5 linked regions of the Oryzias latipes genome follow. The protein of the gene in region 1 interacts with the protein of each later gene in a biochemical or structural test. Links are inferred from orthologs where the notes say so. Each region holds a gene or a part of one and is shown in the gene's direction. Other genes may lie near its edges. The genes, in order: ripk1, otud1, death domain-containing protein CRADD-like, ikbkg and tnfaip3.

The links.
Region 2: of the proteins of ripk1 (region 1) and otud1, one has a biochemical effect on the other in vitro, tested with the Homo sapiens proteins (2 studies listed by BioGRID). The link is inferred for Oryzias latipes from reciprocal best matches to the Homo sapiens genes RIPK1 and OTUD1.
Region 3: the proteins of ripk1 (region 1) and death domain-containing protein CRADD-like form a complex in vitro, tested with the Homo sapiens proteins (2 studies listed by BioGRID). The link is inferred for Oryzias latipes from reciprocal best matches to the Homo sapiens genes RIPK1 and CRADD.
Region 4: the proteins of ripk1 (region 1) and ikbkg form a complex in vitro, tested with the Homo sapiens proteins (4 studies listed by BioGRID). The link is inferred for Oryzias latipes from reciprocal best matches to the Homo sapiens genes RIPK1 and IKBKG.
Region 5: of the proteins of ripk1 (region 1) and tnfaip3, one has a biochemical effect on the other in vitro, tested with the Homo sapiens proteins (2 studies listed by BioGRID). The link is inferred for Oryzias latipes from reciprocal best matches to the Homo sapiens genes RIPK1 and TNFAIP3.

Annotation. Positions count from the first base shown.
Region 1 is NC_019875.2:26,464,865-26,470,373, reverse strand, and holds the end of ripk1 (receptor-interacting serine/threonine-protein kinase 1), read left to right. Parts: intron 1-590; coding exon 591-667; intron 668-812; coding exon 813-897; intron 898-972; coding exon 973-1,560; intron 1,561-1,628; coding exon 1,629-1,772; intron 1,773-2,615; coding exon 2,616-2,911; 3' UTR 2,912-3,565; downstream 3,566-5,509. Other genes in the region: opsin-5-like, read right to left, coding at 5,003-5,509. UniProt on the Homo sapiens protein: Serine-threonine kinase which is a key regulator of TNF-mediated apoptosis, necroptosis and inflammatory pathways.
Region 2 is NC_019878.2:19,215,264-19,221,782, reverse strand, and holds otud1 (OTU domain-containing protein 1), read left to right. Parts: upstream 1-1,419; 5' UTR 1,420-1,710; coding exon 1,711-2,985; 3' UTR 2,986-4,136; downstream 4,137-6,519. UniProt on the Homo sapiens protein: Deubiquitinating enzyme that specifically hydrolyzes 'Lys-63'-linked polyubiquitin to monoubiquitin.
Region 3 is NC_019881.2:23,808,275-23,814,734, reverse strand, and holds the start of death domain-containing protein CRADD-like, read left to right. Parts: upstream 1-2,517; 5' UTR 2,518-2,693; coding exon 2,694-2,991; intron 2,992-6,246; coding exon 6,247-6,460. UniProt on the Homo sapiens protein: Adapter protein that associates with PIDD1 and the caspase CASP2 to form the PIDDosome, a complex that activates CASP2 and triggers apoptosis.
Region 4 is NC_019865.2:4,851,536-4,855,702, reverse strand, and holds the start of ikbkg (NF-kappa-B essential modulator), read left to right. Parts: upstream 1-1,367; 5' UTR 1,368-1,717; intron 1,718-2,210; 5' UTR 2,211-2,212; coding exon 2,213-2,351; intron 2,352-3,924; coding exon 3,925-4,167. Other genes in the region: transmembrane emp24 domain-containing protein 4, read right to left, coding at 7-142. UniProt on the Homo sapiens protein: Regulatory subunit of the IKK core complex which phosphorylates inhibitors of NF-kappa-B thus leading to the dissociation of the inhibitor/NF-kappa-B complex and ultimately the degradation of the inhibitor.
Region 5 is NC_019873.2:16,691,236-16,697,110, forward strand, and holds the end of tnfaip3 (tumor necrosis factor alpha-induced protein 3), read left to right. Parts: intron 1-84; coding exon 85-275; intron 276-422; coding exon 423-564; intron 565-709; coding exon 710-880; intron 881-985; coding exon 986-1,166; intron 1,167-1,282; coding exon 1,283-2,280; intron 2,281-2,366; coding exon 2,367-2,572; intron 2,573-2,711; coding exon 2,712-2,987; 3' UTR 2,988-5,419; downstream 5,420-5,875. UniProt on the Homo sapiens protein: Ubiquitin-editing enzyme that contains both ubiquitin ligase and deubiquitinase activities.

The DNA of each region.
Region 1 (5,509 bases):
TGGATTGTCCAAGTCACATGGTCTCGCACTGCAAATGTTCACGGCGGTGTCTTGGTGTCAGTAGAGTCACCTGCAACAGTAGGCAGGTATTATAGTCAAGGCGGTGGAGCTGGTTGGGAATGGTTTGTCTGGAAACCCTAGTCCCCCCATCACATCTGGTAAATGGGCTTGCAGCTGTGCGGCGTTTGCTAAACCGTGTTGGAGGTCAGAGGTCCTTAGGTTCTGCTCATGGTTGCGGTCTGTCACTGGGTCTGTCCTGAACTCTGCCAGTAGTCTGCTGATGACACTTTGAGACAACCTCACCTGCAAAATCTGACCACCGACTACTAACCTGAATGCACGCTATGGCCAGGTGCCGCTGCTCGTTTGTTAAGTGACACTATGTGTTCATGGCTGTTTGAATGACCTCCTGACAAAAATCAGCTTTTTCTGTTTAAATAGATGCCCCATTGAAAAGGTTTTCCTTTTAGAATTGTTTGCTTTTGGTCCCTATGAGTAATCCACTGAGTTTTTCACAATATCCTTAACTTATTGTGAGTAGTGTAACTTCTCGCAATTACTCTAACTTTTCTTTTTATCTTTTTTTGCAGAAGCCTACGACATTTTCTGTCCTTTTTATGCCAAAAATCTGGAACCCCATATAGAGAACGATTTACAGGATCTGAAGGTGAATCCTTTGAGAGCAACCATTTAGGTTTAGCTTGAACAGAATTTATTTTTAACATTTAGTTTTTTTTTTTTTTTTAGTTTGGAGATCATCACAAGCAATTACTGCGTTAAATATATGAATGTATTTTCTTTTCTTTTTGCAGGAAAACTATGAGGGCCCAATGACACTTGTTGAGAAGATGAAATTACTGTCTGTGAGACATGACAGCTTTTTGACAAACGAGCAAGGTTGGTCTAAGTTTTATTCCAAACAAATCCTTGAAAAAACATGGTGAAAAAGTTAACATCTTTTAATTCCGTTAGATTCCCCTGCTCCTTTGGTGAGTTCAGATACAAATGTTTCGGTACCAGTTGAAGCCAGCATCGAGGATCTCCATGTCATCAACTATAAACCATTGGGGGATTCCATTCAAGCAGATGCCAGACAACCTTCAGAGCTGGAGGAGAAGCTGGGTCGAGAGCTTTATTACCACATACATGGCAGCTATAACTCTGACATGCATCCCCCGGCCGCCAGCAGCTACTACAACAATGCCCCAAATCACCTATTGCAAAACCACGTCAGTCCCTTGGATCAAAGTGGGAGGCCGCCGGCAAGAGACACGTCCTCCGTCCATTCCTGGACTAAAGAGCCGGTGCAGCCGACCGGTTCAGACCAGCTTTTCTTTCCTCTGAACCCAGTGAATCCCAGTTCTATGGCCTCACCAACGCCGACCCATTTAAATGCCTCTGCCAGTATGTCCTCTCTGCAGCAGGTTAACCAGCATTTACACCCCCATTTAGACCGCCAGCAGTCCTGGCCAGTTTACCCGGTTCCTGATACCTTTGTTCCTGATATGAATGCTAGTGGCTGTGGGACCCCGTCTAAAGGTTTCCAACCACAGGAGCCAGGTACACAAAAACGCACTCGAATACTTCCATCTGCTTGGGGACAGTGACTTTACATGTACCTTCTGCAGGACCCCTGTTCATTCAGAACGCCAGTGGGATCCAAATCGGAAACAACAACACTCTGAGTATCAGAGCCTTTGACAACCCCGTTTCTTCACAGTGTGTGTCTGGAAGCAGCTTGTCTCCCATCCAAGAAGGCCTTTTAAAATACGGTCAGTTCCTTTTTTTTTGTGGATTCACACACTATACTTGTGTGTTAAAGTTTAGAAAAAGTTAGATTTATAATTATTATTATTAATAATTATTATAATTTGTGGTTGCCGATTTAATTCATTGTCAATTCAAAAAATTGATGTCAAGATTTGAGTAAAGACATTAATTCTCTTTATAGATGTCCTCCATCGTGAGAAAAATGCTAAACGTGTTAAAAAGCACAATTTTCAGAGTGTGTCTTTAAGTGTTTATTAATGGCTAAAATGGGAATTTAAAGATATTGAGATCACCACTAAATTACATGTTTTTGAAAGTTGAAAATAATTTTGATGCCTAAATACAAATTGTTTTTTAATATTTGTGTAAAATTTTGACATAAAACTTCTGTCTTTATTTGTATAGTCAACGTTAAAATGAAAGCAAAAAAAAATAATGATAATTTTTTGTTACATTTTTAAGCTAAAGGAGCCTTTTTTATTTAAATAAACAGGTCTGTAGTTTTAGTTCACCATAAAAAAATGGAGAATGCAAACAGGAGGAGCTCCCTCTGCTGGACAAAAGGTGCTATTGCTCTTTTCTGAGAAGAAGTTGTTGGTTGAAACTTAAAAATGCTTATCATTTATCTATTAATGTTTTTGGTATATGAATTAGATCAGTGCAATACCATTCAGAAATGGTAAGATATATTATTTTATGAAATAAAATAATTTACTGATTAGTTTTGGCAGTCAAATCCAACAATTGTACAGCCTTTTCCAGAGTAGTTGTAGCTTTTTCCATTTTTGCCATATGATGCACTTAATTATTTACACTGGTTTTTTTATTGTTTTTAATGTTTTTAGAGGACCAAGCCGTGACAGAGGAGCACCTGTATTTGCTGACAGAGAACATAGGGAACAGCTGGAAGCGCTGTGCCCGTCGGTTGGGTCTAAAGGATGTGGAAATCCAGACCATAGAGCACGATTACTACCGCGACGGCCTGCCGGAGATGGTCCACCAGATGCTGGAGCGCTGGAAAATGAAGGAGGGATCCATTGGCTGCACCGTTGGAAAACTTTGCAGAGCTCTGGATGGAAACATTAAAGTAGATGTCATTCAGAAGATACTGGACATGTGCGGTCTTTCTCACGTGGCCTAAACCTCTGGCGCTCTTCAGTTTGCCTCATTTACTTCTAACCAAGTTGGACAAATGTATTGAGGCCTTTTATCCTATATATGTGACTTAAATGTTGCCACAAATCAAGCCTGGCTCAGAATAACCACACCATATCCTTCAGTCCACAGTATTACAGATTTCATTCTATGTGTGCCATCACGTGACCCGTACAGGGCCAAAACCTCAGGTATGGAAATGGTATGTTTTGACTTCATTTGATCAAAACATTAAAAGACGTAAACAGTCAGCAAATATGTGCAGTTTTAACAGAATCAGAAGAATACAAAATGTCAGTAGGTAACATGAACGAACATTAATGAATTTTTGTAATGACGTATTGCTGGGGTGTCTGTGGTCATACTGTAAAAAATCCATGTTTTTTAGCTTTAAAAAAACAAACCTGCTTTTGTACTTTGAGAGTTTTATGAATATCAGTGTTGGATCTTCTGTGCAGACGCCACTTTGTCTTCTACCTTATGAGTTGCTTTACCTTATGACGGTCTGACTGATTTTATTTTATTTACTCATGTGACTTCCAATCTGTACAATTCTGTGATTTTCTCTTGTAAGGTAAACTTCTTGAACTTTGTGGTTCTCTCTTTTGGACAATCCAAATAAACGCAGAACCAACATCTCTTCCGTATTTCTCTGCTCTTTCTCAAATCTGGCTGCCTGCAGATGCGTCCTGATCGCTTTACTCCGTGTCTGGGCTCAAAAGCACACACCTCATCTTCAGACCAATCTTTTTAGTCTTTCTGAGGGACACAAAATGAGAAAAGAAAACATTGTTTTCTGAAAAATCCTCAAGGGCTGACACTGAACGAAGATTAAAACTACATTTTAGCACAACATTCGTTAGATTTAAACACAAGGTGAGTAAATACCTCCTTTGAAAATCAAACTTTTCTTTTTTTAATTCTTCCAAGTCTAAACAAACAGAACCCATGGAATCTACGCAAGATTTATGGTCACAAATCGGCAGGATTTCAGTTCTCTTAACAATAAATAAAGGTTTTAATGACTCAAAACAGGCGAGTATATTTGTGTGGCAAAATAAAGTTGGACAAAAACAAAACATTTCATTTAATTGGGACAGAATGTTTGTGCAAATGTGAAATCAGCCAATTTTTAGTATCTTATTTTACAAGTTGAAAGACCTTTAAAAACTCAGAATTTTGGTAATTTTTTTTAGGTTCCACAAAATAAATAACCAATTTGACCAACAAATCCCTTTTTGTGTGTGTACGTAACCCATCCTGAATTTGCTCGATTTGTAGAATCTTTTCTTGTCTGCCAACATAAAACAGTTTTTTTATTTTATTCATCTGGAGGTGAAATAAGTCAAATTTTTTGTTTTGCTCATCATGACTTATTTGAGGTTTCATGATAGGAGAGACAGTTGAGGACCCTCAAAAGCTTGAATAATTAAGAAAAAAAAAATCAGTGCACGAGATGACTAAACCCTTAAAGTCCCAGACAGTGACATGAAATGTGTACAAGTGGGAAAAATAATTAAAATCTGGATGTTTATGTGACTGAAGAAACAGCTTCAGATCTGCAGCTTTCAAGAGGAAACGGTGGCTAAGGGGCCATCGGAAGGTCATTGCAAACAGTTTTTTAAGAAAAACGTCTCATTTTTATCATCAACACCATGCTGTTGGTATGAAAGATCAAGAAAACCTTGTCAGCAAAAGAGAAAACAGAAGTTTTTTTTATTTTTATATAAAATAATTGTTTTTTTAAGAAAAAGCATTTACTAGTATCCGTATTTTTACTTTGCAGTTTAATATTTTCCTGTATTTTAAAGTCTTTTTTCCTTTGATAATTACATTTCTTAATGGATCAAATACAGTTATGTTAGGAAAAAACTAGTAAAACTCAAAGTTACCTTGACTTTATTTTAAAAAGAGTGCAAATGTTGCTGGGGCATAAAGTTTGTGCCTTCATTCCCATTTTTAACACTTTTAAACAATATTGCAGAAAAATGAGCAGATTTGACAGAAAAAAATCTACAAAATGAATAATGACAATTAAAATAAAGAAGCTTATAATATTGTTTTCCAGTCCGCATGATCAGTTCCAAGCCTCTTGGCTGGGCCTTGGAATCATCTCCAAGGTAATGTGGAAGTTGTTTGTTTCTGTCGTCCTTACTGTGGCCATCAGGGACTTCCTGGAGGAATCTCCTTCACTAGTCTGCTTCTGCCTTTGCGAAACTGGCGTTTCTTGATCCACTGATGGGTCCCTGTTAGCTGCCTTGCCATTGCCAGCACACATTGCTGGGTAGTGTCTGAAGCAGGTGAACGTATCCTCACACCTCTGACAGCTCTGACCTTCTATCGTCATTATAGGTGGAGAGACGGATGAAGGGAAGCGGCTGGTTTGTCGGTGAGTTGTGCCAAGTCCAACCCTGATGTTTATCTTTCTGCAGCATTTAGTTTGGCCCTTGGGCCAGAGGCAGCCCTTCAGATAGTTATGGTAAAGTTCTCCCACATCTCTCCACATTATCCTACGGAAATTGGGTCTCAGCAGCAGGTTGATAATTGGGTTGTAAATGGTGGAGGACTTGGCGAACATGGCTGG
Region 2 (6,519 bases), on another chromosome or scaffold:
ACTACAGAGAAATGTCGCCACTTAGCGGTTGTTTATGGTAAAACATTTCATTAAAACATTATGTCGTCGGACTCCCTCTGGTGGTCAAAACGCGAACGTGTAATTGTTGGAACAATGATAATGAAAATGTAAAAATATTTTTTTTGGGTTAATGGTAAAATAATGGGCACCATAAGCTCAGTATTTTAATATTTTTGTTCTCTTTTTTTTCCCTCAATGACAACAGATATTGTTGAATAATTTAATTAATTTCTCCATGTTGTGTAACCAATGTTTCCAGAATGTTCTTCCTGAAAAGATTGGATTACTTTTCAGCTGTGGGTTTAACTGACGCCAGTCGGATGTCTATTCCAAGCACGCAGATTGAGTTCCACAATCCACAAGCTCTGACAGTGTAAGTGTTTAAAAAAAGCTTCAGGAGCATATCTAAGCATTGACATGTCTGCCAATAATGTCCAATGGACATATTCACATGCACCAAATACTTTCAGCTCACAAACAAATTATGCTTTTACATGGTATTTTAAGGTTTGTTTGGATAAAAATTGACATTTTTATTGATATAAGAAAAAATACTTTTATTTTGCTTCTTTTAATGTATCAAAAGGTTGTGTTTTTCCATTCATAAGGCATCAATAATAAAAATTCATGAATTAAAATAAAAACAAATGACAAAAAAAATGTAAAACTTGTCTCAAAAAAGATAGATACAAAAAGACAGATACAAACAAGGCTTTTTAATTTAAAAATAGTTTTCTTTTTTTCTGTAACCCATTTTCAAATTAACTTGAGGTTCTGCGGGATTACAATTTTCCCTTATTAATGTTTTATTTAAAATGTTAAAAATAGATTTTTATTTTGTCATATAAAACTTTGCAAACCTATAAAACACCATTATTGTGAATTTTAGCTATAGATTTTTAATCATGAAAATGATTTTTGATGTTAAGTGTTAGGTAGCCAAATATACCATAACTTTGGGTTTAATTGAAAACGTTATAAGTACTAGGTTAGTAGTTAAGTTGGAATGTTAGAATCTGAAGGTTAAAAAATATACGAACTTAACTTTTTTCAAGTCTTTAGTTATTTATTTTTCTCCACTTACACAGTTAATAACATTTTCAACAACACGAGTTAGTCTGGACAATATAGGATGGTTAAGAAATGATTTTTTTTTTATTCCCGAAAACTCTTGTAACATTTTTATAATTTCTTTAACTTAAGATTTGTTTAAAATCATTCACAAAAATAGCATGAAATTAATAACAGCTATAAAAACAATCTACATAATATATTACAAAAATAATAATAAAAGTAAATGCAAATTAATAATTTGTGATTATAATCTGAGACAAATAAAATTAAAACATCCAAAAAACATTAAACGACGATGAGGGGTTTTATTTTGAAGTTTCCCAAACGGAACTGGTATTTTGTCCTCCGGGATTTGACGGGCTTTTACACTGAAGGGGTTTGGTTACAAACAGTGAAGCCTAAAATTAGGGAGGCACCCCAACAGCAGATGACGCCACACAGCTAAAGTGGACCTTGTCGTCGTCGTTGCGTGTCCCCGATAACAGGACTCGGGGCCATGGAAACGTTCCCCGCGAGTTTCCCGCTGTTGATGACTCCGGGGGTATTTTTAGCGCTCGTTGTCATCTTTTCGTAACTGCCCCGGCGGCGGTGTTCAGTATAAAGGACCGTTGGAAAATGCAGCTGTACAACAGCGCGCTCACACACTACCCGAAGTCGTCGCGGAAAGTTACAATAACTCTGTCTGCAGCCCCCGAGCGCCTGAACGGGACGCCGCGAACTTCCTCCGAGGTCGACTTTGCCCAACTTGACACAACTTCGTCAACTCACGCCGCTCCGCCCGCGGAGACTTCTGGAAACATGCCCGCCTTTTCGTGCTACGAGGCTGCTTCTACCAGGAGGCCGCTTTACTTCACCTCCACCGCCGAGATATTAATCCGCCGACCCGACGGAGTGCAAAGGCCGGTTCCCATTCACATCATCCGACAGCCCAAACCCCCCTCAGGCCGCCCCCACAAGCCCTGCAGTGACCCCGACCAGGAGACCATGGTGGACTGGACAAACCATCAGACTGAGGAGGCAGGCTGCACAGAACTGCCAGGAGGATCTGCTTTTAAGAGGAAGAAAACCACTCAATCCACAGTGGAATGTAAGGAGGAGGATTCTGGACCTTATAGGAGCAACGGATGGGCGTCATTCCATGAAGAGGAACTGGCCCCCTCAATGGTTGCCATGACGAAGAACTTCAGAACAGAGGATCTATTTGACATGAACAGTATGGAAAGTACACCACCATCAGGGCAGAACCAGACTCTGAAGCTCAGTGTCCTGCAGGAGTCGCCTCCGCAGGGGTCCCAGCAGAGAGACCACAAAGTCAGCCGGTACCTGGCTGAGGTGGAGAAGCAGAACAAGTACCTCCAGGAGAGGAACCAATACAGGTACCACATCATTCCAGATGGCAACTGCCTGTACAGAGCTGTGTGCAAAGCCACGTACGGGGACCAGACCAGGCACGGCGAGCTGCGGGAGCAGACGGTGCACCACATCGCCGACCACCTGGACGAGTTCAACCCCATCATCGAAGGCGACGTGGGAGAGTTCCTGATCAATGCGGCGCAGGACGGAGCCTGGGCCGGCTACCCGGAGCTCCTCGCCATGAGCCAGATGCTGAACGTCAACATCCACCTCACGACGGGCGGCAGCTCAGAGAGTCCCACCGTCTCCACCATGGTGCACTACCTCGGCGAGGAGGACGCCTCCAAACCAGCCATCTGGTTAAGCTGGCTCAGCAACGGCCACTACGATGTGGTCCTGGGCCGATGTCTTCCCAACCCAGAGTACGAAGACTGGTGCCGGCGCTCACAGATGCAGCGGAAACGAGACGAGGAGCTGGCAAAGTCCATGGCGGCCTCACTATCGAAGATGTACATAGAGCAGAATGGCTGCGTGTGAGGCCACAGTCTGTTCCTGATGGATGCTGTGGACTCTGCTTGGTTGCTTTAAATTATTATTCTTTTGTAAGTTTTCTAAGTTTGTCAGAAAAAAAGTGCAGTGCACATCGCAGACCATCTTTATTAGCACTTGTCAACTATTTTTCCATTTCTTTGTGTTTGTCTTTTTCCAAGTGGCACATAGCTGTATTATAGCTGCTCTCTTTTGCACAAAAGTCCTGTCAGACTCGTTTGGGAGAGTTGTATTTTGTGCTGCTTTCTTGTCATTTATTCCAAATGTTTGGATTGTTTTCTTTTTATTTTAAATGAAGTTTGTTGGGGAAAAAAACATGTTTTTATTTTATAAGATTGTTTTAACAGTTTTATTTGATTGTTTCCATAAAACTGTCATTCAGCATCGATGATCATGTCTTTTTAGTCGCACAACACTAATCTTATACAAACCCTCCCTTTAAAGTGCAGCATGGTGGGAAGAGATAAGAGATGCACGCTGCACTCTGATGCTTTGAAAGGTTAAAAGTTATGTTCTAGCTTGATTAGCTGGTGTCTTTTCTCAACTTGTGTAACATAGTTTCTTCAGAGCGGCAGGAGTTCAATAGAAATCTGCCTCTGAGTTGTGTGGCAGCATTTCCCATCATCCCTTTGTTTACACGCTCTCACAATAGCTTACAGTCCCAACCTATTATTTACCGATGCAACAAAAATGGCGAGCAATACTGGAGCTATCCGGCCTTACAGTTTGAGCCATATGCCTGCTCAGATGAAGAAAATGAAGACATACGTGGATCTCCTAATCTGCAAGTGAATCCATCAGATTGGACAACATATTTTCTACATCACAAACACGCTCTCTTTATAACAGAATTCTTTGTGTGTTCCTGATTTACAACAATAAAGAATAAAATTTATTCTAAAGAATAAAGAAATACTCAGAAATACCCATTTTAACTAAGTTTTTCTTTACAAATGTGCTCCCATCATCAAAAAAGGGCAAAAGAACATGTTAAAAAAACTGTTTTAATCAGAGTAGGTCTTTAAAATGGGAAAAAAAGTTTTAAAGACAAAATTTTCTGCAGAGTATTCAGTTACACTGTCACCCTGTTTATCCATGTTTTCCTAGATTCTTTGTTGCATTAAAGTAATGTACCATTCATTCAAAATGTGTTTTGTTTCCCTGTGGCAGATGACAACCTCACCGTGTTCCCATTCCATCCACTAGATGGCAGTGTAGGCTCCTCACATCTCACCACACAGATGTTTTTTATTTGATACAAATTAGGACGGAAATTAAAGGACTTCAAACTATAGGGATTAGAAAAATGCTAGACATCGTTACTTGGCGTTGAAAGAAGCCAAATAGATGATAAACACTTTTTCCTCTTGCAAAAATACTGAAACTAATCAAATGTGCAGCTCAAAGAACTAAATAAAGGACAACACGCGCACAAAAGATTACCAGTCTAAAAATAAAAAGAACCTCAATACAAATACAATTTAGTTTAAGAAAAAAAAACAGAGAACTAACTAAATGCAACCAACATGTTAAACCAAAAATAATTAAAGAGTTTGAGAACATTTTACAGGTAAAACAATATGTAATAAAACAATAAAAGTGCGCCAAAAGGCACGTGCAAGTGAACCAAGTGCCAATAGAACGGTATAAATAAATAAATACAATCATAAAAGATACGTTTTCTCTTCATCTCTGAACAGCGATGACGTCACTCTGCGGGCACTAATGCGGGGCAGAAAAGTTTTCATGTTTGTTGATGCGGGAAAGGAATAGTGGACGCCCCCTCTTCCCCAGCTCGATTCAGACCCGTTCAGAGCAGGGAGAAGAAGGCGTGCAGGTACAGCGGACCGTCACCGAGCGCACAGCTGGCACGCGCATCGGCGCGCGCGGACAGCCTTTCTTTATAAAAATATAAATCCACGGGTGCGCGCCGTTACGCATCTGAGCGGGGATCCCACGCGCAAAACGCAGCGGCACCTGAACGCATCCTCAAAAAGTTCTCGCATACTTGAAGAGGCTTTGACCTGCGGGGGGAAGAGCGGACATGTCGGGGCACCGGGTGCAGTTTGCGGACCTTCCTCCGACTGAGCACAAAGGGAGTCCAAAATTTCACAGTAAGAGATCATTTCTTTGGCTGCTTAATTTGGTTCAGATGATGAACTCTACGCGGATGAATAAGGGAAAATTCTCCCTTCTCAGGCCAGGGAAGGGAAACTTTTAAGAGCTTTATTTAGACTACAAGTCATTTTTAAACTCTACTTTAGCCTTAATTTGAAAAAAACGCAATTGATGCGTAATTTTAAAACTAGAGTTGAATTTTTATCTTATTTTCTGTCTAAAATGTTAGAAATAATACAGAATATTTTTCCCCATTACATGGCTCCTCTTAGCAGAGTATTTTTCTTTCTATGCGTGACTGTGCTGAGTCTCACCTCTGATCTCCTCCACTTGGAGATCAGTGCTGTGATGCCATTTGCCCCACTGTTATTATCTGAAGTGGCAGTTGCCCTTTTCACACTGCTGCTAACTTTCTTTTCTTTTGGCTCCTTAAGTGAGAGAAGCAGCTTCCTTTGAGCTCACCTTAAAGGGACTTTTTCCATTTCCTGCTTCTGTGTTTTTGGATCAATAAAATACAAAGATAAAGCATGTGGTTGTGTTGGCCCTGGAGGTGTGATCGTATCCGACTGGGCTGCTGTGTCTTCATTACAGCTCAAGAAAAATCCAAACTTATCTCCATGATGACAGGTTCGATTGGCAGAGCATGTAAATGAGGGCATGGTGGATAATTGCTAATTTGCTGCAAAGCCCTTTGGAAGCCCATCTTTACCTCCCTCCGGCTTCATGAAGTTCGTGGCTGAAGCCTTTCTGTTCGGTTGCAGGTTTTTTTTTTTGTGTGTGCAGTTTGGACAGTAACATGTGTGCAGACTGCAGGGGCAGAAGTGCTGATGGCAGTTGGAGCTCAGATTGTATGCAGGGAGTGTGGGGATGATGTGTAGAAGGGCACAACAGCAGCTTCAGCAGCAGCGAGCCACACATTCTGACTCAGCTAATCTGTTTTTCCTGCTGCATAGAAGCAAGCGACAGGGGTCAAGTTTCAGTCTTTTCCCTCTCGATCTTTGTGATGCACAAACCTGAGCAACATACTATTGCATTGTAGACTTGGAAGATGTTGCCAAAAAACACATTTTTTTCACTTGTTGTGAAATTGCAGATAAAAAAGCACCTCTGGCATGAAAGTAGGGCTGGGGTCTAACCACACTTCCTTCATTTACGCTGTGGCTGATAGTGATCTTTGTGCCACACTAAGGCAAGTCTGCAATGAGTAAGCTTGCCAAATCTTTGATTAAATCTGTACATTGATTAAAAATGTACGTTTAAGATTTACCCAAGATTGCAATTGAAGGCCAACATAATCTGTCCAACCTTGTTTGAACGGGCTAGGATTGTTTTTTGTATTTTATCGTTTTAAGCGAACCAAAAGGTTTAAAAAACAACCTTACCTGGCGCCAAACCCTGACGGGA
Region 3 (6,460 bases), on another chromosome or scaffold:
ATAAACCACTTGATCAATACAAGGGTAGACAAAAGGTCACTTTTAAAAACACAATTGCATGTATTAATATTAAACTGACCAACGTTTGCAAGAGGGGAAGGTTAACAAAAAAGTCCTCTAAACATTACCGACGTCAAATGCATTTTCCCCCAGATTGGTTCTGTACACTATGCAGCATTTCATGCAATTACACCAGGAATAACACTTCAAAAGTAAACCTAAATATCACCATTTTTTATTTCACACCTTACGCTATTTAAAAAGTTATTACAGCCAATATTTTATAACAATGATTTAAATGCAAACTTAGGCATAAACTTGAGCAGCTATGTTTTGTAACTGGGGTGTAACTGTCTCTGTTTTGCAGATGCAGCGGTGTTGCTTTTCTTCTGGAATATGTGCTCATATTCACTGTAACTCTGCAGCAGCACGTCAAGTTCAGCTGGAGAAAAATATGCAGACCTCTTTTTTTCACGGTTGCCATGGTGACTCGTAATATCTGCGCTCCATTGATAATGGCTTCTTATAGTCGCGGTGCGCACGCCTAACTCTGAATCAGTCCACTCAGAGTTGATTGATCTAACTCCGATCAGCTGCTCTGAAACAGAAAACTCAGAGTTGTTAATCTCTCGATTGACCAACTCAGAGTTCAGGTTTAACCTCAGAGTTGGTTGAACCTCCTTTCTGAAACAGGCCCCTGAGCCCACTTTCAGTGTGGACTTTAAACATGCTCAATTCTGATTGGAGAAAGTGGTTGCCATGGAAACGTGTTCTCAAACTGACTCAGACCAATCACTGCTTATTGAAGTCGTCTGGCTCCAAATGGCGGCGTCCGCATTCCAAAAAAATGGCGACTCCATCTCCTTCCTTTGGCCGGAGCCAAACATCAAAGTTTGGCCACAGTTTTCTGTGGGTGATGTCACTCCGTCCAGTTCTGTCATTCAGTCGCTGTATGAAGATATTTTAGACTTCTGGAAAGTTCTGGTCTCCAGTTTCTTTCCTGGAGCAGGTCGGCTGGTAAACATTTGTTGTCTTGTTCTTCGTTTTTTTATTTTCAAGCTTTGTGCTCGGTAAACAACGGCTGATTGGATGTTGAACTCTTTGAAAAAAGGAAAGGTTTGGGGACTCACAACAGGGGATCCGGTCCTTTCCTCACAGGGGATCCGGTCCTCTCCTCACAGGGGATCCGGTCCTTTCCTCACAGGGGATCCGGTCCTCTCCTCACAGGGGATCCGGTCCTCTCCTCACAGGGGATCCGGTTCTCTCCTCTTCGTTCTGCAGGGTTCATCCTGGAACCAAGATGGATCATATTGGATGTAAAGCAGGATCATCTGTTATTAGTTGTTATTTTTGTGGTCAATGTGAAAACAAGCAAAGTAATATTAACAGATTATTGTTACGACCCTGCTGGTGCTGTCTGTGCCCCATCCACCCACGCCCCGGACAGTCTCAGGGGGGAAGAGTTAGGCAGAGAATCAAAGTCTCCTTTTCAGCATCAACGTCCATCTATTCGAACACACACAAACAGCATGGAAGGGGCTTGTGTTCCCAGCATTCTCACTCATGGTTTTCACAACAAGATTCCCCACTTCCTATGAGTCTTGGGGGCAGAAGGCGGGGCTTTCCCTCAGGTCGCTACATTATATTCACAGATTATATTTACAGCACTACGCAGGTTTTTATCCAAAAACATAAAGATTTATATCTGATCAAGGAGGAAAACTCGACTTATCTCCAAATGATCGTTTGGGTAGATTTGAATAAAGAGCTCAACTTTTCCTTTTTGACGTCACTATGACGTCATTTTAATCAAATGACCGTTTTGCAATTGTTCAATAAAAAATAAATATATAAAAATAAATAAATAAATCTAAATTGGAATTGTTGAATGCGGACATTTCTGTTCTACAACTTCAGTTCCGGTGTAGGTACCGGATGTTCTCGGGTTGCCGGATGTTCTCGGGGTCCTTCAGGGTCCTTCCAATGAGTTATATCACTAGAGGAGACATCACGTGGTTCCTCATGGGAGGAGAGCACCGCCATCTTGGTGAGGTCAAGTTTTGAAGCCCAAACCACTTTTATAACATTTAATAAAGAGCTCTGTTTTTGCTTTCAATCACTTCATTATATGAAAAAGAAGAATGGCTTGAAATTGCTTAGTTTTGTTCAGAAATACAAACTTCACGAGTACCCCTAACTTAACTAGTATTAGACTACTTAGATTTTTTCTATGTTCCTTTATTTTATTTTACTTATGTTTTTATTTATTTGTGTGTTATGTTCATTGTTTCTTTTTTCCCCTCTATTCTTTATTTTCTATGTTAATATGTTATGTTTGGCAATGGTGACTGATCTTCGAGGCAATATTGATTACATCGTTATTGTTCGTTGTTAACGTTAATGTCATTGTTAATGTATGATACCGCAATTGTCAATAAAGTTTTTAAAAAACTTAGCGACGTTAACTCATTGGTCGTGGCAACTTACAGCCAATCAAATAGTGTGACGTCATCATTGGTCGAAGGACCCCGAAGGACCCCGAGAACATCCGGCAACCCGAGAACATCCGGTACCCACACCGGTTTTGTTGTTTCCAGTCGGGCACAATAACATGGACGGACAATGACTAACTGGACCGGTTAGTTGGAGCTGGCCGCAGCGACGGACCCAGCACGGGTGTGGTTCGGGTTCGGATGGATCCCGCGCACAAAGCTGTGCTCCGGAAGCTCCGCGCGGAACTCTGCAGCCAGTTGATGGTCAGCGAATCCATAGTTCCGGTTCTGTTTCAGGAGGGCGTGCTGACCCATGCGCACGTAGAGGACATCGAATCGGAACCGACCGACACGAGAAAGAGCCAGAAGCTGCTGGACATCCTCCCGAACCGCGGGCCGCGAGCTTTCCCCGCCTTCATGCAGTCTTTGGCGGACTTCAGCTGGATCCGGGACCGGCTGGTGCACGAGCTGAGGACCGAACCGGAACCAAGAGCCGCAGGTGCGAGTGGAGTACACTTGGGAGCGGTGTGGTACCATAACCAGGGAGGAAGAGGAGGATGAGTTTAGAGCACCACTACTGTTCAGTGGTGTGATGATGACGTCAGAGAAATGGTGACAGTCAGCAGGTTTCATGATGCAAATCTGTTCGGTTTCAATCATTTCATGTCATAAAAATGAGAATCTCTGCGGCTCAAACTTAGACATATGAAAGTCCAATAAATGAAGATGGAAAAACATTTAATTGAATTGGAGTAAAATGACATTCAGTTAGATAAATATGGAAATTTGAGTTGTAAAAAAATATTGAGTTGTTACCAATTGAAATAATTAATTTAAGTTGGATAATTTTATAATTTATATACATATATATATATATATATATATATATATATATATATATATATATATATATATGTATATATATATATATATATATATATATATATGTATATATATATATATGTATTTATGCGTCAAAAGGAAAATGGAAATGAGATCAGAAACTCGTGCGTTTACTTTGTCTGTTCTACTCCAAGCAGAAACTCTTTCTTTGCTGATGATGCAGCCGTGTTACTTTTTTGATGGTCGTATAATCTTCATACGCCGTCATTTAAATCTCCGACTCCGTCTCACTGAAGTATAGCGCTCTCTTTGGTTCTCCACGCGTTTCCATGGTGACTCCAGAAATATGTGATCTATTGAAAATGTCTTCATGTACCTGGGGCCTGTTTCAGAAAGGAGGTTCAACCAACTCTGAGGTTAAACCTGAACTCTGAGTTGGTCAATCGAGAGATTAACAACTCTGAGTTTTCTGTTTCAGAGAAGCTGATCGGAGTTAGATCAATCAATTCTGAGTGGACTAATTCAGAGTTAAGCGTGCGCACCGCGACTATAAGAAGCCATTATCAATGGAGCGCAGATATTACGAGTCACCATGGCAACCGTGAAAAAAAGAGGTCTGCGTATTTTTCTCCAGCTGAACTTGACGTGCTGCTGCAGAGTTACAGTGAATATGAGCACATGTTCCAGAAGAAAAGCAACACCGCTGCATCTGCAAAACAGAGACAGTTAGCGTGGAAAACATAGCTGCTCAAGTTTATGCCTAAGTTTGCATTTAAATCATTGTTATAAAATATTGGCTGTAATAACTTTTTAAATAGCGTAAGGTGTGAAATAAAAAATGGTGATATTTAGGTTTACTTTTGAAGTGTTATTCCTGGTGTAATTGCATGAAATGCTGCATAGTGTACAGAACCAATCTGGGGGAAAAATGCATTTAACGTCAGTAATGTTTAGAGGACTTTTTTGTTAACCTTCCCCTCTTGCAAACGTTGGTCAGTTTAATATTAATACATGCAATTGTGTTTTTAAAAGTGACCTTTTGTCTACCCTTGTATTGATCAAGTGGTTTATATGGGATTAAGAAAGTAAGCAGTGCTAGCAAATTGTGTTTCCATAAAGTAATTGGTACATTAATGTAATTCAATGTCCCTGATTTCATTTTCATGTAGATTCAATCCTGCAGGAATTAAAAGAACATGGCAGCAGTTAAAAATGAAGTATAAAAACATAATTCAATCAGGTCAAAGTTGAGCATGTCATGGATGTAGGCATGTTGACAATATTTGACATATGAAACATCTACATAGCAATATCTAATGTTGTTTTCATTGTATATATGTAATTGACTGCAACGAAAAACGGTAACGCTCAAACAAAAACGTCTGGGGAAATGACAAAACATCGAGTCTTCTCAAAATCCTCGCACGACGTTAATGTAATTCTCTAGGAATTAATGCAGCCTCCTCGTCTATTGGGTCCTCCAGAAAAGGACAAGCCATTCTTGTCACTTAGACCGTCTCTGTGTGACGGAAATGTGGGCAATGAAGGTTAAAGTGAAAAATACCGCTTCGTCTTTAAAAAGGGGAGGGGACCGGCAGAAACCTTGAGTTTAGAGAATAAAACCTGCTCCCGACCAGGTTAGGTTCACAGCATAAGTAACCATGGACACTGACTCCGAGTATAAGTTACCTCTCTTTCAGAAACGGGTTTGACTTACTCTGATTACTCTGGTTTAACAAACCTCCCATTCTGAAACGGAAAACCCAGGGTTTCCCTGATTTCAGGGTTAACATACTCAGAGTTTACACTAAACCTCCTTTCTGAAACAGGCCCCTGCTGTGCACGTGCGTTAACCCAGGGTTACCAAGTGGAGCGTGATTACGCCAACTCATATCCGGTCTTTTGTAACCGACATACCCAGAGTAAGCAAGTTCAGGCGGATTTCAGCCAGAGTTCAGGCTTAAAGTCAGGCTAGTTTAAACATGCTTCCTGGAATACCCCCCCGTTCGGGGTCATGGGACTAGTGCTGACGTCACATGACGTGTCAGACAGTGATTGGTCTGTAAATGACCATACTACCAAATGTGACGGTGTGGCAGCGTCAGCTGGCGGTGCTTTCCACCCTGTTATTTATTTTATGTTTTAATGTCTAAGACTGACTCCTGCTATGTTACCTGGGAGGTAATGAAGGGCAACGCCCAATAGGAGGGGCTTATCATTCAAAAGGGAGCATCACAGGAAGTGAAAAGGGAGAGTTGGAGGGTGTCATGTGCTGATGTGGCCCCGCGTGGAGCGGTTTAGTGATGGCTTCTTGTAATAAAGAACACATAAAATAACTAACAGGGTGGAAAGCACCGCCAGCTGACGCTGCCACACCGTCACACCATAGAAGAAGAAATCCAGCGGTCCGTTGTAAACAAGCGGAGCGCCGACACAGAGCGAGATTATCTTCTAAACTTTTATTATTGTTAGGATTGTTATTAAGTGCATTTGCAGATGAACAGACTGCAGTCAGAACCCTCTGGACCGCACACTGTACCAAAGCACCGTCCCCGCCTGCAAACACGAAGCTACGAGACTCCAGCTGGGTCACATGATCCGAGCCCGGGAACCTCCTGAGGCGGGCTGAGACGTGGTTCTTCATCAGAGAACGGACTGGACTTTGAATCAGTCCTGAATCGGGTCAGGACAGTCACTTCACCATGAGCCCACAGGCTGCTGATTGTAGTGGGCGGAGCCTACACAACTCTCACTTTGACCCGCCCAATCAGCGTGTTTGGAACATTAGGTGGGCGGGGTTAATTCCCATCAGTGTCAGAACCAACCTGGTTTTAGACACATCTGTGTAGAGGAAATGTAAAGCATTGAGCAAATGTTCTGCTGAGTTCTGACTGGAAGGTTCTGTTTGCAGACGCCTGTGGCCTCTCGGACTCGGTTCTGGAGAGGGTTCTGTCGGATCAGGAGCTGTGCCGGCTGTCATTCCGCCTCGGAGCCGAGTGGGAGGCGATGCTGATGGATCTGGGTCTGCCAGCAGAGGCCGTGTTCCGGTGCCGCTCCGATCACAGTCTGAGCACCCAGGCGGCGGCGCTGTCCGGACTGGTTCTGTGGAGACGGTCCGGAGGGAG
Region 4 (4,167 bases), on another chromosome or scaffold:
ACTCACCGATGACCATCGTCTCGTCTGGGATTTCTTCTATGAAACATTTCTTCTCCGTCTCTCCTATGTGAAAATAAAGCGCAGAAATCGAAGAAATCCAAGACAGAAGGAGAAAAGCTCGGGCTGCGGGAGCGGAGAGCATTTTTGTCACCTCCCTCACTTTAGCCGCTTACAGGAAGCTGCGGCCTGCTGACGTCACGAGCGTCTGCGGAAGAAGGAAAGGGGATCTTCCGGAATTTAGATTCCCTGCGCTTTACCTGACAGGCAACTTTTGACGCGGCCTAATTTTGGTGCCCAATTTTTTTTTAAAATTCCTCCAAGATGTAAACACTTCTTTATGGCTGTCTCTTCAGTTCAAACTGCTAATGTACGGTGTGCTGCTGCAAGCTAACATGTTAAATAATACAATATTGTATAAACAGATGCAAATTCTGATTATTTTGTTTTCAACATCAAATTTAACATTCTGTATACAGCACTTTTCCTACTAGAGTAACACAAAGTGCTTTTCTGACTTCAAACAATTAAAACTGAAATTATAAAACATAGAGTGCCCTCAACCCTCCCGACTGCCCACTCCCTATCTAGATGAATCCATTTAAATCCAGTTTTCCTAAAGAACTGAATCCTGTGGGAACATGAGCTGGATCCCCACATTGTTGTGTTTGTGTTACTCCCCATGTGTCATTAGCACACGGCTGGCTTTTGGTGCAGGTCAGAGGCGGCAGCTCATGTGAGAACAGAAAAACATTAGTATTGATTTTAAAAATTGGCTATTTTTACTAATTGGGGCTTTTTCAAAGTGCATACTATCAAATTATTGTCTCAGTCATGGGTCCAAAGCGCTCCAGGTTCAAGTTTTTAATCCCGTTGTCGATTCGTGGCAGACCCTCTTCATTTTATCTGTTCTGTTGTCTGGTTCCCTTCATTATTGAAGTTTTAGGATGTTTATTGCATTGATTTATTCAAGCAGTTTCTTTCATCAAGTGTCTGTTTCTTTGTGTGTGTCAACCAGTCATCCCTGATACTTGAACAAGTGTTGCAGTTTCTGCAATTTGCTTCTTCTTTGATTTTTCTGCTTTTTCTTTTTTTTTGGTATCATCACCCCCCCCCCCTAAACCTGACTTTGACTTTGCTGAGTTTGCAATGTTTTGTGATCCCACTCAACTTTCACTGTTTTATTATTTTTTTATATTTCACTGTAATATATTTGCAAGCTTTATCAATTAAAATAAAGTAGAAAATCTTATATTTATAAAACCTAATTCAGCAGGAAAACTTTACACACTTGTTCGTGCTTAAAATAAGATACTCAAACCGTTCCCCTTTCAGATCTACAAACCGGAGAACCGACACCTGAAAGGCAAAACTCAGGGTTAAAATATTCGAGGAATTTTCCGAGCTAACAACAGTCGCCTCGGCTCGGACGAAAACCCCGTAGCGAACGTGAAGCAAAGGAAGAAAAGGCCTCCTACATCCACACAGAATGTGCCTTTAAGGTTCGATAGTCTGCCAGCGTGAAGCTGTGTTTATGACAGCCGAGGAGCGAGGCCGCTTTCCCAGCCCTTCACTGCCGCATTAGCCTAGCTAGCTAAAAATTAGCCAAAATAGTGCTTCTGGACTCGTCGAGCTTCCTTCCTGGCGCAGGTTTGAGGGGGGGACTGTAAAAACTCTGGATGTGTGTTATTCTGGACAACAAAGGGAAAAAGAAGTTAAGGTAAGAGAGATCCTGTCCTTGTTTTGTTAAAATAAACTAGTATGTATGCGTCCAAACTGTTCAGAGACAGTCACGGATGTCCAAAAACCAAAAAAACATCAGTCTAGTTTGGAATTAGGTCGTTGATTTTATTTATTTTTTCTGTTAAAATCCAACTGCGTTCTCTTTACTTTCATTTTTAAAGCTATTTTAAACCCAATGTGTCTTTTATCCCGGCCTAAGGTGTGATGACGATGACGTAATGTTTTCCTTACCTGCAGTCATGTTCATGGATGACGTCCACATGTTTTTTTTTTTTTTTTTTTAGCAGAGAGGCTGAAGCCTTTAAGGAGCAGATCTGCTTCATATTTTCAACAAAAATGAGTAAAAGAATCAAAATGAAAGTGAAAGTCTGGTCCTGGTGCACATGTCAGGGCTCAAACCTGTTTCCACGCTTACGGACTGGATGTTGACTTTGACAGGTGTGTGATGATAATCCACTGTAATCCTGCAGGAATGGTCCAGCCGCAGCCCGACGGCCCCATGCAGTGGGACATGTCAGGGGAGGACAGTGGCGGGGCCCTCAGGGTCCCACCGGAGCTTGCTGGTCATGAGGTGGTGTCCAGATTACTGTGTGACAACCAGCAGCTCAGAGGTATCGCACCCACGGCTTCGCTCACACAACTTTTAACGAGGATTCTTCATCTGACCCTGTTTACGCTTTCTTTTCTTTTCAATTTCTCATCCATGACAGGAACATATTTTTTTTTTTTTTTAAAGTTAAATACATTTTAGGTCCGGCGGGGTGGAGCTCGCTTATAATCAGAGGCTGACTTCTTAAAACATTGTGGTATATATATTTTAGTTTCTGCTTTAGTTAACTCAGCTTTTTAACTGACATATTTTATACACGTAAAAGCAGAAAATAAGAGAAGCTTAATTCAAAACAAATCTATATGTGGTTTAACCATCTTTTACACTATTTTAGTTATTTACCATATTTGCCTGTTTTGTAAACGGAAAAAAATCAGAAAAACAGAAATAATTAATTATTTAGCTCCTTCATAGTTTGGACCTCTCCCTCTGGATCGGCTGCTCTTCAGCCACTGCGGCTCTGGATGGGAACCTGCATCACTGCTTAGCTGTGGTGGAGCGGTCCCCGCCTGTGATGCTGCATTTGGCTGGTTATGCGGCTGTTCACAGAAAGGGAGGTTCCAATTATTAGCGTTTCCAACATATTGTCTTCATACTTCTTTTTTATTATTATTTTTCTTTTTATGTTAATTGTTGTTTTATGTTATTTATTTTGTTTTGTTTTAATGTAAATCACTTTGTGTTATACTTTTATATGAAAAGTGCTTTATAATTAAAGTTTGATTGATTTATAGACCCACTCTGATGAAAATTAAAAATTTTTTTTTTTTTTTTTTTTTTTATCATCTTCTCAGATGTCTTAGAAAATTTAGCTTGCAGGGTATTTCTTTATTCAAATTGTTGTGAATCAGGAGTGTGTGGTGAAATGCTGTTTGACAAAGAGCTTATTTGTGATGTAGAAAATATGATTGGCGGGCCACAAACTTCCTGCTCCGCTCCATTCTGATGCATCCACTTGCAGACAAATAGATCCATGTGCGTCTTTGTTTTCCTCGTCTGAGCTGGAATCTGGATCTAAACTGGACGGATGGATAGCTCCAATATTTCTCAGCATTTTTGTCACTCCGGTAGTGTTAGGTTGGGGGTGTGAGGGGCTGTAAGCTAGCAGGAAAACGGGTAAACAGGTGAGTGACGGGAAGTTGGGGCAGGCTTACTCCACGTCAACAGTCCCGCCCACAACTCAGAGGTCAATTTTTGATGAATCGCTGCCACTCTGCAGGAATTATGTCCTTGAAAATGGCAGTCTTTTTAGATTATGGCTAAAAGTGGCCGCATTATATCAAAAAGACCACTGAGAACGTGTTTAAAAATAGATCAAAAGATGATCGGAGTGGGTCTTTAAAGGATATTTTTGGTTAAAATGGAGTGACGGATACTTCAAGCTGCCCTGAACGCACACAGGAAGTTGGTTTCATGTCTAGCAGATGTAAATACACATTCAGATGTGGTAAATGCTGTCTCTTCTATCTGTGAATAGTATCACAGCATAAGAACAGAGTCAGGGCAGCAAAGTTTGGATAAACTTCTGTGTGAGACCGAAAGACGAAAGTCGTACTTTATGTTTGCTCCTCCAGAGGCACTGCGGAGAAGCAACCAAGCTCTCCGCCTGCGCTGTGAAGAGATGGAGGGATGGCAGCAAAGAACCAGAGACGAGCGAGAGTTTTTGAGCTGTCGCTTCCAGGAGGCCAGGGCCCTCGTGGAGAGGCTGGCGCAGGAAAACCACTCGCTGAAGGTCACGGCGAACGGACCAGGCTCCTCCCCGTCTTCCGGTCTGTCCTGCAGCTCAAGTCAGACTGAAGACCTGCAGGGACGCCCGG
Region 5 (5,875 bases), on another chromosome or scaffold:
AACCTGCAACTCAAAATCTACCATTTGTGTTTCCTAACTTCTACCAGAATCAACTCTGACTGTCTCTACTGCTTGTGTCCACAGGAGATGGAAACTGTTTGCTTCATGCGGCCTCTCAGTACATGCTGGGTGTTCAAGATACAGACCTGGTGCTAAGGAAAACTCTCCACAGCGTCCTCAAGGAGACAGACACTGGAGTATTTAAGGCCCGATTCCAAACTGAGCTGCTGCAGTCCCAAGAGTTTACCCAAACAGGACTGCGGTACACCACCACGGTAGGATGACCCAACGTCCTGTTTATGTTCACCCCAAAATAAACATTATCAATACTTTACAGTGCCTGTTGGTGGTGTGAAGTAAAATTATGTTTGCAGGCACTATGAGTGTCCAGGTAAGGCCTAACTGAGTGTGTGTTGTCCTAGAACTGGGAGGAGGAATGGGATAAGATTGTGAAAATGGCGTCTCCAGTCTCGAGCAGTAACGGCCTCCAGTTTGACTCCCTGGAGGACATTCATATCTTCATCCTGTCCAACATCCTCCGCAGGCCCATCGTCGTCATAGCAGGTGCTCTTCTTTGATCCCTACAGCTTATTTACTCATCTTATTTCTTACATGTTTCATTTTCAGGGACATGCCAACTAATTTAGCAAGAAAAGGATGTTTGTTGCTCTTTTGCTTATTTCTTCTTTTATTTTCTTTTTTTTAACAGATCAGGTGGTCAGGAGTATGAAATCAGGCTCCTCCATCTCTCCACTGAATGTAGGTGGGATATACTTGCCTCTGCAATGGCCGCCCACGGAGTGCTACAAATACCCAATAGTGCTTGGCTACGACTCCCAGCACTTTGCGCCTCTCATCACCATCAAAGACAGTGGCCCAGGTACGAAACACAAAAGCAGGGGCTCTAAAGTCTGCAATGGCAGGAAGAAAAATGACCACCTTCTGTGGATGAGACTGTCTGCTTGACCTGCACTGATCTTTGCAGAGATTCGAGCAGTGCCGCTGATCAACCCAAGAAGAGGAGGCTTTGATGAGCTGAAGGTTCACTTCCTGATGGAGAAGGAACAGCCACAGAAGGAGAGACTTCTTAATGACTACCTTCACTTGATGGAGATCCCCGTCATAGGCTTGGGCCACGATGTCACTTGGATCATGAAAGCTGCAAGGTGTGTACTATCAACTCTTTTGTGAAATCCTAAATCTAAAACATTTGTTTTCTCTAAACGACTCAAAGTAGTCTTTATAAATGTGAAGGACACTAAAAGACTGTTTCTTTCCTAAGGCTGGATGAGGGGAACCTTCCAGAGGATATGAACCTGATGGAGGACTACCTGCAGCTTGTCAACCACGAGTATCAGCGCTGGCAGGAAGACAAGGAACAGGCATGGGCCGCCCAGCCACAACGCCCTCCCCCCTTCTCCGTATCTCAGCTTTCCCTCATTGAGATCCGCTGTGCCACGCCACGGTGCACCTTTTACGTCTCTGTGGACACACAGCCTCATTGCCACGAATGTTTTGAGAAGCGACAGGCCACCACCGGTGGAGGAGCGAGGATAGAGGGGGTGGTTCAGGCCAAAGGAGCTGGTGTGCAGGGTGGAGTAGGAGTGATGGGAGGATCAGAGGCTGAGGTGAGCTCCAGAGGAGCCAGAAGCAGCAGTCCCCTCTGCTCTTCTTCTGGGCGAGGCGTGGTGTTGTCAAGCCCCCGCTCAGCTCCTCCCACTGCCCCCAGCCTCAGCCTATACAGTGAAACTCACGCCATGAAGTGCAAGACGCCTGGATGCCTGTTCACTCTCAGTGTGGAGCACGATGGACTCTGCGAGCGCTGCTTCAACTCCAGACAGAATCACGCACCCCCTGCAGCTGGGACAGCTGCCACAGGACTCCCAGGCCCCAACGGGGGACCTGTCATTTCCCACCCGGCCCAGGGTTCTGGTTGGACCCAGTGGGGGGGCTGTGAGACAGAGACAGAGCGATGCAACATGTGCAGACAGGAGGCGTTCAGGATATTCAATGGCCTGTGCCCACTCTGCATGCAGAGGCAGCAAGCTCCGGAGAGGGGTGAGCCCCAGCAGAGCAACCCCAGGACTGAGGCCTCATCCTCTGCTTGGAGTCAGGCCAGAGGCACTGAGCGGCCATGCCTCACCCTAACCCCAGGACACACGCCTGGCTGGCAGGCCCCTCTTGCCAAACTTTGTAAAAGATCGGGCTGCCAGTTTTTTGGGACACCGGAAAAATTGGGTTTCTGCACTATTTGCTATGTAGACTATCAGACCAACCACCGTAAGTCCTAAAGTCCTATTAAAGTTCATCATTCTGTCAAACATATATAGTGTTAAATTCTTCATGTCTACCACTCTTTGTTCTAGACCTGACTCCACCCCCAGCACCAGTTCAGAGTCGGCACGGGTTGGACACGGGTTTCCAGAATGCCACACGCTGTCGTGGGGCCGGATGTGGAGCAGTTGGCAAAGCAATGCTGGAGGGCTTCTGTGACAAGTGCTACGTCAAAGAGCAGAGTGCACGGCTCAACCAGGTGGCTCATCGCACACAACACTCCCCTCCCCTAGTCATGGTATGTGTGTGCCATTGCTGGTATCATCATGTGTGGCCCGTGTCTCCTCCATCAGTTGTTTTTATTTGCCTACCTTTCTTCAGCACTTCCTAGTTGACCCTTTTCTTTTTGTTTTGTTTTTCTCTGTCTGCACCAAAAGCGCGACCGAGCAGCCAAGCCCAGATCTTCACAGCAATCCCAGACCCAGACTCAGTGCCGGCGGAGCGGCTGCAGTAACGTGTCGCCGGGTTGCACGGACCTCTGTCCGGAGTGCCACACACGGGGCCAAGGCAGGGAGGCGGGAAGGCGGGCGCAGGCGCCCAAGGAGAAGTCAAAGCAGCGGTGCCGGACACAGGGCTGCGACCACTACGCCAACCAAGAGAAACAGGGCTACTGCAACGAGTGTGACCACTTCAAACAGATTTATCGCGGCTGACCACGACCACGCTCAAAAGTGACGATGAAAACCCATTGCTAGAGCCAACGCCCTGCTGCGGGCTCCTCATGCCTATCAATGCACTTCTGATACTAACTAACCAACTAACTAACTAGCTAGTGAGTAACTAGTAACCTTATGGCCTGAAAATTAACCCCCCCATGTAGAATGTGAAGCGAGAGTGTGTGTACATGGGGGGGAGGTGACGAGTGTGTTTGTGTGTTTGTTCGTCTGCAGTAGACATGGCCTCCAGAATACCTCTCTGTGCAATTATGATCATCTTGATTTGCTGTGTGTTCTTACACGGTAAGAGGTTTGGCTACATGTCAGAGCAACTGACTCAACCCTTGTGTACATTATGTATCTAGAGGTACGTAGCGAATCGTGCCGGACAAAATGATTGTATGTTAACATGACATGAAGCATCTGACATTGCTTTCTCGACCACAGCCAAGGATTCATACCCTGTGTCCGTCTTTATGTATGTATGGCCATTGATTATTTTATCTAATTTGATTTTAAACCCATCCGTCTACCTGTCTGTCAAGCATTTGTTCTGTAGAGTGAGACATGCAGGCGTTGGGTAATCCCAACTGAGTGTCTGTTGAAGCAGTAAGAAGAAGCCCAATGTTTAAAATTCAAAATCTCACTTTTTTTTTTTACCTCTGAGTTTTTATCAGTGTGAATCTCTAATCTCTTCATTGGTTCAGCAGCAATTTATTAGTTCTTCAATAAGAAAAATGTAAACAAACCATTTAGTTTTAACGGTGCAAGACAGACAGGGCAGGACCCTGCTAGTTTTGGTGCTACATGTACAGGATCAAGTCTCTCCATTGTAGCCAACATGCTGGCGGTGTCAGCACCCAGACGGCAGTGAATGCAGAAGAGAAGGAGTCACCCTCTTTCTATTCCTCCTCAACTTCCTTTCATTTCCCCTTTTCTTTCCCCTTTTTTCAAAACACATCTGTTGCCTTGGACACCGTTTTTGTCTTTACCTAACGACCTAAGCACCTAGAAACGCGTAGAAGATTGCCGCACGCACTGATATAGCTCCGCTGATTTTGTCAAGGGGGATTTCCAATGATAAAGAGAACCTGTGAGAATATAAAAAAACAAAAGAAGTACGTCAGTCTGCATAATACCTCACCTAGCCACTACAAACACGGTTTGCACACAGCTCTGTGAGATTGTAAGGCCCAGCTCGAGCTTGAGGTGTGATGTAGGTAAACCTGTAAAGAGATGCATTCCTTCCTGCTCCACCCCGCCGGATTTGCCAAGGCAACAACTTCAGAGACCAATGTCATCGCCTGCTTTGGCTAATCTTGTTTATCTGAAGTTTATCTTTGTGCTGTTTCTTTCACTTCAGCACACTTTTTGGGGCTGATCCTCCATAAGTTTTGCCTTTAAGTAGTAATGACATTTAATGGACCAGAAGGGGCCCGATCAGTGCTCCCACCTTTAAAACGCTTTTTTGTGAATATGGATCCAAGTCCATATTTTTAAGGACCTTCCAACTCGATGCCTCATCTTCAACATACACACACACACACAATGCACGAATGTGTGCTTCTGGAACACACAAAGAAACTGACATTCCTGTTTTGTTGATTTTTCCTAAATTATTTTTTAAGTATTTTGATATATTTGATTTCTGCTAAAAGACAAAAAAAAAACATGTGCCCTCAATTGCCAAACAGTTGTTGTTACCTCCTTAAAATGGCCAGCCTGTGTCATTTTAGAGTGCCACAGATGGACATCTTCGTTTTTACATAATCTTTTATCCAAATTTACCTAAAAAATCCCCAAATCAACTTACAGAGTCATTTATCTGCAAAAGTGGATAAAACAGCAATCCAATGAAATCAAAAGTGATAGCTCACACGAGTTATTCCCCCTCCGAGCTGTAGATGTCCATCTGTGGCTCCGGTTCTAAGTGACTCACCGGCTCTTGGTCTGCCTTTTTCATTCAACTGTATCTAAAGCTGTCAGCAGGCCAGCCCACACGCTGATGGCCTGCATGTAGATTTCTGTGTGCTTTAATCACCTCTAGATGAACCTTAACCAATAACAGGCCAATTAGCAGCCAGCTCTACTGGCCCTCAAAAAACATGGCTTTTGGGGGTTCGGAACGAGTTTGGTGGAGAGGAGATTTTAAAAGTTGCACATGACTTGTCTAAGCTGCTGAGGCATTTAGGAGCGGTCGCCTGACTTGTGTAGGGACCTTCCAGCAGTAGGAAAAACCATCGGCTTAAGGGCAGAAGGTGTAACAAAAAACATGCAAACGGTGTGGAAGTTTCTTTTGATGATAGGGTGTTGTATGAAACAAATACTGGTTTTATTTGTTAAGTATTTATTCATATCAAGATATCTGTATTGTGTGATTCAATAATTATTTATATGTTGTCTTGAAATGAATTATTTTTATTAAGAAATCTGACTGGTGTGGTTCTTGACTCATGTGTTTTGCGTTGACCCCCCTCTGCCATAAAAGGTGGGGCTGTTGAGGTATTACATGATATTTGCCCTGCTAGATCTGTCTTTTTGTAATTTATTTTAATATTTTTATTATTGTCGATATGCACTGGGCTGTGGGTGCTATCAGATAACATCATCTAGGCCTCTGTTTACAATGCAGAGTGCTCCATTTACTAGAAGGCTTAACCGGGTTACTGCTTTAGTCTTCCTCCGCTTCTCTCTTGTCAACTTCACAGATTTCCACATTGAAAAGTTCAAGTGATGCATGTTTTTCTTAGTAGTACATTCATTCAGTTGTTTCCAGGTTAAAGTTGGGGCAATGGTGTCAGGGCCCCCACCCTCACATAAAAAAATGATATATATATCTATATATATATATATAGATATATATAAGTAAAGCGCACGTGGGAGGG